Coturnix japonica: one gene and its partner. The protein of the gene in region 1 purifies or fractionates together with the protein of each later gene. This does not show direct contact. Links are inferred from orthologs where the notes say so. Each region holds a gene or a part of one and is shown in the gene's direction. Other genes may lie near its edges. The genes, in order: LIN28B and LARP7.

Region 1 (4,314 bases):
CCTCAGCATTGTTATCTTTTAAATCTTCCCCCTGTAAATGACTGCAGATAAATGTAAAGAGCCTACAATGGAAGGCATGGAGAATCTAAAACCAAAGAGCTATCTTGTTGAAAATATAATTAATTGGAAAGTTTGGGGCAATTTGAGCACTACCTGACTAAAAGACTCTCGCCTACAAGAAATAACATTTCATAAAATATTGTAGGCTGAACTATGAACAATCTCAGACTGTAACTAAGCTGGCAAAAAAAAGTATGACTAATGGAGGGGCTGGAAACTTAGAGACAATATTGTCAGAACAGAAAATAGTTTGACCAAAACAACACAAAGATGGATAGACATGGAAGGATGAGAAACTGGATGCAAAACGGAGAAAGCCAAAGTCTCTCTTCAGGATAATGGAGTACACAAACACTTTGCTGTGAGCAGTGATGGGAATGGAACAGGAGCAGCCCTTCTCAGTCTAACATCTCTGGGCTTGGACCAGTCTCCAGAAGGTGACAAGAAAGGTGTTACTTGGAACCAGAAACTTCCTCCCCATATCAGTTCCTTGTTTTTAAATGTTCAACAAATAATTCCCACAAATAGACACACCATTAAAAAAAAGGAAAACTGCACCATTTATTGAGAATCAGGGCTCTTTTTTTTCTTTTAACTAAAGTGAAAAGGCTTTAGTTAATCTCACTAGGAAAATGATATATTCCATGTACATTTCCATGGGCTATCATGTATAGCAGCCCAACACAAACAGCATATGTAATCACAGAATATTTCAGGTTGGAAAAGACCTCTAAAATCACCTATACCAACCAACCTATCCCCACCGCGTCTACTAACCACATCCCTCAGTGCCACATCGACATGTTCCTTGAACACCTCCAGGGATGGTGACTCCACCAGCACCCTCAGCAGCCGGTGCCACTGCCTCTGAGAAGAAATGGTTCCTAATTTGCAACTTAATGAAAACTAACCAGAGCTGTAACACACAGGGACTCATACACAGCATCCTCCCCCAAATATTCCTTTGCTCACACAAGACATTTTCCAGCCAAGAACACTGAGAGTGGTTTTACACCAGCTAAGGCTGTGCTCCGTGTGACACATTCTTTATGAAAAGGAAATTAAAAGATGCGCACACTGGCCGAGCTACGACAGGATCCCAGATTGTGCTGAAAAACTCCGCCTGGAGCCTCACAAATGAAACCTACAAAGGAAAATCCAACTATGGGAAATGACGACCAACGAAGGCAGCCCAACACCTAATGACACTCCAGAATAGCAGACCTACAACCCCCCATCCCGCCCCAGGGCCGGGTCGCGGCCTCAGGCTGCTCTGTGGGGCGCGGATGCCGCCGCCCCGCCCCGCCCGCGGTTCGCGCTGCCCTCGAGCGCCCCCGCGCGCAGCCGCCGGGCTCCCGCCCGTAGGAGGGCGGCGGGCAGCGGGCAGGTGCGCGGCGGCGGCTGCGGCGTGAGACAGCGTTGTGGCCGCGTCTGCCCGCCGCCCGCCCGCTCGCCCACCCAACCGGCCGCTCCTTCTCCGCCGCGTCCTCCCGGCGGTCGGCAAGGCGAAGCCCCCCTCGCGGTGCCCGTCCGGCGGGCTCCGTGCCTGGCTCTCGCCTCCCCTCCGCGGCACGGCAGCCCCGCTCAGCCCGGCCACCATGGCGCGCGGGAGGTAAGCCAGCTCCTTCACCTCTCCTCCGCGGAGCTGCGCGGCCGCCGGCTCTCGCCCTCCCGGCGCCGCGGTACCCGGGCATGGAGCGCAGCGGCGGCCGGAGGAAAAGTTGCGCGGCGGAGCGGTCGGTGCGGGGCGGGTGTACTTCCGGGTTCACACCTTTTTATCCCTTCGCCTTCGTGCCGCCGCCGCTCGGACCGGAGCCGGCAGCTGCTTTTCGGCTCGGTGCCGGGCGGGGCGGGGTGTGGCGGAGCCGCCCGCCGGGAATCGGGAACGGCCACCGCCGACGGGGGGCGGCCGGGCCCGTTGGGGCGCTGCGGCCGCACGACGCCAGGGGGCGGCCCTGCCGAGGGATGCGGGGCGGGAGGCCGAGCGGGGAGCGGCGTGCGCCGTGCGGGGCCGGGAGTGCGGGCGGCGGAGGGGCCGCCATCTTGAATGGCTCCCACCGCAAGTCGGGCGGCTGCGGGGGAAGAGTGGGGGGCGAAGGGAGGGCGGCGGGTTCGGCAGGTGACGGTCCCGATGGGAACGAATAAAGCGACTCCGGGCCGCCCGCTCCTCCCAGTCTGCGCTCAGCGATGGCGTGGGGGCGAGGCGGCTGCTGCTGGGTCGGCGTTGACTTGCCCTGTCTGCTCTTGTTTCGGCGTGCAGCCGTGTTCGGGTACAGCGGTTGTGCTGTGGTAAATGATGCGAAGTCAGGTAAATAGTGGGATAATTGAAAACATAAGCGCCCATCTCAGCTGCAGCACGTGTAGGTGTTTTGTCCAAGGTATTACAAATGATGACACGGACGTGTTGGGAAAGAATACGATTCATTTGTGGCTATGAAGCTGAGAACTCCGGCTTCGTGTTAAATCTCTTTCTGCCCTAACGTGAGGGAATTACCCATTGTAATCTGATGAACACATTGCCCTGAGATGTGCTACGTTCGTGATATCCCTTAGCTTGTGTGTAGGTGTGAGCACATGGCGTCCAGTGCTCTGTGAGCAGCAGGGAGGGCACGGCAGTGCTGTGTGCCCGTCTCAGTACAGATGGCTCACTGCTCTCTCTCACACACACATTCTGCTTCCCTTTTCCTATAGGCCATATGTTGGGGTTGGGTTTCTCCACCCCATAGCCTGCTTTGGCATTTCACCTCTTGCATGCAAGCACTGTGAATGCTCACGAGAACAAAAAAGACATCCTGCTGTGAGCGTAGCATTGGTTGTTAGGATAATAATTATAGTTAAGTTTGGTTGTAGTGAATTTCAATGTAATTGCGCATAATTTCAGCAACATTAGGATATAATACCAGGTGAAAATGCAGTATTGCATGTTGGGTCCATGCACCACCCAGAGGTGCAGCGGTCACTTGTTTTTAAAACATACTTCAAAAGCCAACTTGGGAGCAGGCAGAGCTGCAAAGCTTGTTTGGAAAACAACTGATAAGATGTGCAGCTAAGTCCCTGTGCTTCAGAGAGTGCTGTCCCCTTAGTACAAGGCAGTAATAATCGATAGCGAATTAAATTATTACCTTAATAATTAATACAGCAGGATTGCCTTTGTGGTAGTGAAACAAATGCTGCAGGTAACAGCCTGCAGCTGCGGCTCGGCGGCTCGGGCGGTAGTAGGACAGCGAGAGCTGGGGCCTAGGGGACGGAGGGGACCTGGGTTCAGCTGTTGGTAGAGCCGCGTTTGTTCAGCGTCTATAAAGGGTCCCGGTGCTGCGGGCGGGCGGCGCTCGGTGGCCGCGCTGCGAGCTGCCGGCTGTCGCTGGCCGCAGTGCTGAACGCCGCACCGCCGGCAGCCCTGTTGGAGGGTACCGCCGTGTGGAGTGATGGTGCTGAGATCGATCCGCCGAGCTTTTCTTGTTAGGAAAACGATTCCTTCCTGTAGGAGAGGTTTTTGTGTAGCCAACTTATGAAGTGTAACGTTACCTACACGAAATGGAAGTGGAGCTGAAGCTGGCCATCGGGCGGGAGCGTGATGTTTGTAACCGCACGTTTGGTTTATGAGAGGACGTTCTGAAAGCTGATAGCAAAGCAGCACGTAGTGATGGGAGTGAAATAGCAGCAGCAGCACAAACAAACACGAGGGGCTTCCCTTTCTCTCTGTAAAAAGAGACATTGCGCTTAGAATGGCGTGCAACCCATAATATTATTTTATTTAATTCCCTTTATTGTGTTTAGGCATCTCAAGGGAAGGAAAAAAAATAAAAGCAAGGTTTTCTGTTGAGTTTATTTTTTTCAGCACACAGACAAGTGTTCATTCGCTGTCATTGCATGCTGGGTGTTCCCAATGCAGCTGTGTTATAAAAAGCAAACAAATCTGCCACCGTGGCTTGATGCAGAGGTGTTACAAAAAGGAAAACAACCAGCAAGATCGCGTATGGGAGGATAGGAATTGAAAAACTACGCAGCTTTCTTAGCGTTGGGCTTCTAAAAATAGAGCCAATTGATATGCAAGGTCTTCGAATTAAAGGTCAAAGGTGACAAACCAGGACAGAGGTCACACAGCTCATTTTCAAGCAGTCGGTTTCTGGTTTTTTCATGGTTGAACAAAAGCTTAATTATACAGAAAAGCCGGGGCTGTGATATTAACTAGTCAATTTTAACGGAGAACTCGGTGTAGATATGCACAGTTCCCTCCTTTCCTTAATGTGGTTT
Region 2 (3,815 bases), on another chromosome or scaffold:
ACTGGGGCTTTTATAGGTCTCTTTCCTACTGGCCATTTTTGACATGGTTCATTTGAATTCAGGTTAGGAGATAGAGCTTGGTTTTGGAACTACTCAGCTCATCCTGAAGCAGAAGTTAGTTTACACATTAGCTGCACTAACAATTATGCTTTTTGCTTTAAGAATAGTAAATTTGTGGTTAAGATGATCTATCAGTATATTTGCTCAATTGTGTTACTCCAGATGGATTATATCAGTTGTGCTGTATCTATAGAGACAGACAGTCCTTTTCCAGCAAAAGAAATAATGCATTTCAGATTCCATAAGTGTGTTCTTTGTTTTCTTAAGGATTCCATACTTGAAGTATAAATCATTAGCCCATCAGTGTTGTGTGGGAAGTCTATATCACTTGTCAGAGTCCTCAATTGCATTGAACTTCCAAGTTGTTTTTTAAAGAGTGTATAGAAGAAAATTCTTTATGTTTTCTGTGGGTGTTAAAGTTTGGATGTCTCGAACAGTTTTTTAACTAAGACTGGTACTGCATAATTTTCTGTTCAGATGTTATCAGCATGACTCATCTCAGCTGAAGTAAAAGCTGGGGCTCTTTTGTGTTGGAAAGGCTAGGTTAAACACAAGGAGAAACATGTTTTCACTGCAAATTATTTCTGTACTGTAAAAGTACATCACAAAGGCTTTTTTTCTTCCTTTCTTTTCAAGGACAATTATCATTTGGAAGGTAAAAGACAGAAATTCCTTTGATAGATGAGCACAAAACGTTAAATATAGGATTCCTTGAAGCTTGAATTCTGATGGTGACAACTTTCTGTAGATCCTCATCAGTCTGCAGTGTGGGTTTGCATGCTGGAGTAATGACTGCCACATTCTTTTCATGGGAATTCTAGCTCATTCTTGATGTCTGTTTGTTACACACAAGTAGGGCTTTCTAAATTGCGTTGATTTCATCATGTGCTCCTTTTATTTTTTATTTTTCCTTCTCAGATGTTGACATATCACTGCTTGTTTCTTTCAACAAAATGAAAAAATTGACTACTGATGGAAAATTGATAGCACGAGCAGTTAAAAGTTCATCTGTTGTAGAGGTGGGTGTTCAATATTTCACTCTTTTGCTGCAATTGGATTAGTAGTTATAGTGGAACTGAAGTAGTCAGTCCTGCTGACTGTGTTGTTTTTTTTTTTTCTGGTTAAATTCTAGTTGGATTTAGAAGGAACTAGGATTAGAAGACGCCAGCCGCTGGGTGAACAACCAAAGGATGTGGATAGTCGTACAGTCTATGTGGTAAGTTTGTACCTGTTTTGTGAGCTTTGTGTCTCACAGAGCACTTTATTTCCAGCTGTTACAAATACTTTAAACTTCTATTCTTGCTGAAAAAAAACACTGTACATTTTTCAGGCTGTAACTTGATTGCAAATTATTATAGTAATAAGAATGGCACATACAACAAAGCAGCCGCATATTTTACTACAGTTAAAAGTTGGATTTTCTTTGACAAGATCAAAGTACCAGGAAACAGGATTTTTTCTCAGAAAAAAGACAGCACAAAAGGAGAGAGATGTACTAAACTTGTAATGATGAGGCATATATTAGGCTTAATATGTACTTTCAATGCAATAAAAATTTGTTTTGGGAATACAGAATCACAGAATTGTAGGGGTTGGAAGGGACCACTAGAGATCATTGAGTCCAACCCCCCTGCCAAAGCGGGTTCCCTACATCATGTCGCACAGGTAGGTGTCCAGGTGGGTCTTGAATATCTCCAGAGAAGGAGACTCCACCACCTCCCTGGGCAGCCTGTTCTAGTGCTCCGTCACCCTCACTGTATCATGTGGAACTTCCTATGCTGTGGTTTCATCCCATTACCCCTAGTCCTGTCCCCACGCACTACTGAAAAGAGACCAGCCTCACCACTGTGGCCCCCACACCTCAGGTATTTATAAACCTGGATCAAGTCCCCTTTCAGCCTTCTTTTCTCAAGGCTAAACAGACCTGTTCATTTATAACGAATGAAAATACCTGTTCATTTATACTTTTGTTAGCACAGAGAGGTCAGGGCCTGACTATTACTGCTTGTGCAGAGTAAAGGAAGTAAAGAGAAAGTAGGTGATCACAGCCAGAGACCAGGGCAAGAAAGGAATGGGTTTAGTGTCATATGCTGTCTTCTAGCATTGTCTTGATTTAAAATGCTGAGCAAAGAGCTGTTTCACATCCTGGCATGGAAATGGTGTATTTTCATCCATATCTTACTTATTTCCCTGGGCTTTTCTGATTAATGTTGCTAGAGGAGTCACAGTGGTACTAGCAAGCATTTATGAAGTAAACATTCTTTTAGTTGCAGGATTTACTTAAGTGAGCTAATCTTATGTTAAGGTTGCTTTTTAAAATATTCCTACTAGCATAATGTGGCAACCTTACTAGTTCAATGATTCACTAACATAAATGAAAATAGCTTATGCTGCTTCTCAGTATGATATTTTAGATCTCAGAGTAGGTCTACTATTATTGTATTGTTGAGCCACTTGTGTTGGGAAGTGGAAAGAGATCTGATGGTTGTACTGTCACTTCTTTAAAAGTTATGTGCATTTTTAATAGAATTGAACCCAATATGAAGGCCTTCATATAATATTTCAATGTATTGAGTGATATAACCTAACTACATAGTTAACTGGATTTTCCTTAATTTTAACTTTTTCTGTAAAACCAAAATAGGTGATTTGGGTTTTGTAATTTAGTTAATCCATAAAAAATCTTATTTGGAGAATGTGTAGCAGTTCTATATCCTCTCTTTACCACCCAAAAAGGTACAGAGTTATTTTGTTGTTGGTTGGTTGGTTTAGTGGGGTTTTGTTTGTTTGTTTGGAAAGGGGAAGAGGGATATTGTTTGTTTTATCACATTTTAGAAGCCTGTTGTGTCAGATACCCACCCCTTATTTTGTTATTACTAGACTGTTGAGCCATGTTAAATGACTTCTCGAAGTCATTTAACTCATTAAGCCATGAGGGGGAGCAGTGATCCTTTAAGGAATGGTAACTTGTCATGGAAAAAAAAAAAGAGAGAAGTATTGGTTACTTAATTCAGGCATGTATCTGGGAGTACTGATTTTAAATTGTGTTCAAATGAGTCTCCTTTAGGCACTGATACAATAGAATGTTTCTTTGATAAGGGAAGGAAAACTGTTAAGAACTGAGGCATTGTGTGTGCATGCTCCTAAAATGTGTTGCTGTATTAAAAAGCTGGTAGAGCTTAAACCAATTTGAGTAGTACCTCTTTAGTGACCTGCAAGAATTAATTTGTGTGACACCTGAGTTCTCAACATGAAACAAACAAACACAATCCTTGTGCTCTATGCTGATGAGTTTGAAGCAATACAGAGTTATGCTTACTCTGATCTTAACTGGACAGAGATGGTTTATCTTTGAACAAGGCAGTGACATGTGAAGCCTTGGTGTTTCTGTCAAGGGAAGAAGATGAACCTGTTTAATTCAATCCAAATTATTTGTTAAGATAGGAGAATGTATAGAGATCCATTTTCAGATCACTGTCTTTACTGTCTGAATGTTATGACCTCCTGACAAGAATATTTACTGAAGTAAATTATTTATTTAATGTTACATCAAATGTGTTTTTTTGTGAAGAATTCTATTTAGATGTAGCAAACCATCTGATAAAATGATAGTACAATACTGAGAAAACAAGATTTCTTTTTGCTTTTATAGGAGCTTCTTCCCAAAAATGTCAATCACAGTTGGATTGAGAGGGTGTTTGGGAAGTGTGGCAATGTAGTTTATGTCAGCATACCGCGGTATAAATCTACTGGTG

The links.
Region 2: the proteins of LIN28B (region 1) and LARP7 purify together in Homo sapiens (affinity purification with mass spectrometry; 3 studies listed by BioGRID and IntAct, with this or other methods). This does not show direct contact. The link is inferred for Coturnix japonica from reciprocal best matches to the Homo sapiens genes LIN28B and LARP7.

The regions. Positions count from the first base shown.
Region 1 is NC_029518.1:62,741,970-62,746,283, reverse strand, and holds the start of LIN28B (protein lin-28 homolog B), read left to right. Parts: upstream 1-1,417; 5' UTR 1,418-1,672; intron 1,673-4,314. UniProt on the Homo sapiens protein: Suppressor of microRNA (miRNA) biogenesis, including that of let-7 and possibly of miR107, miR-143 and miR-200c.
Region 2 is NC_029519.1:51,167,168-51,170,982, reverse strand, and holds part of LARP7 (la-related protein 7), read left to right. Parts: intron 1-978; coding exon 979-1,079; intron 1,080-1,192; coding exon 1,193-1,276; intron 1,277-3,712; coding exon 3,713-3,815. UniProt on the Homo sapiens protein: RNA-binding protein that specifically binds distinct small nuclear RNA (snRNAs) and regulates their processing and function.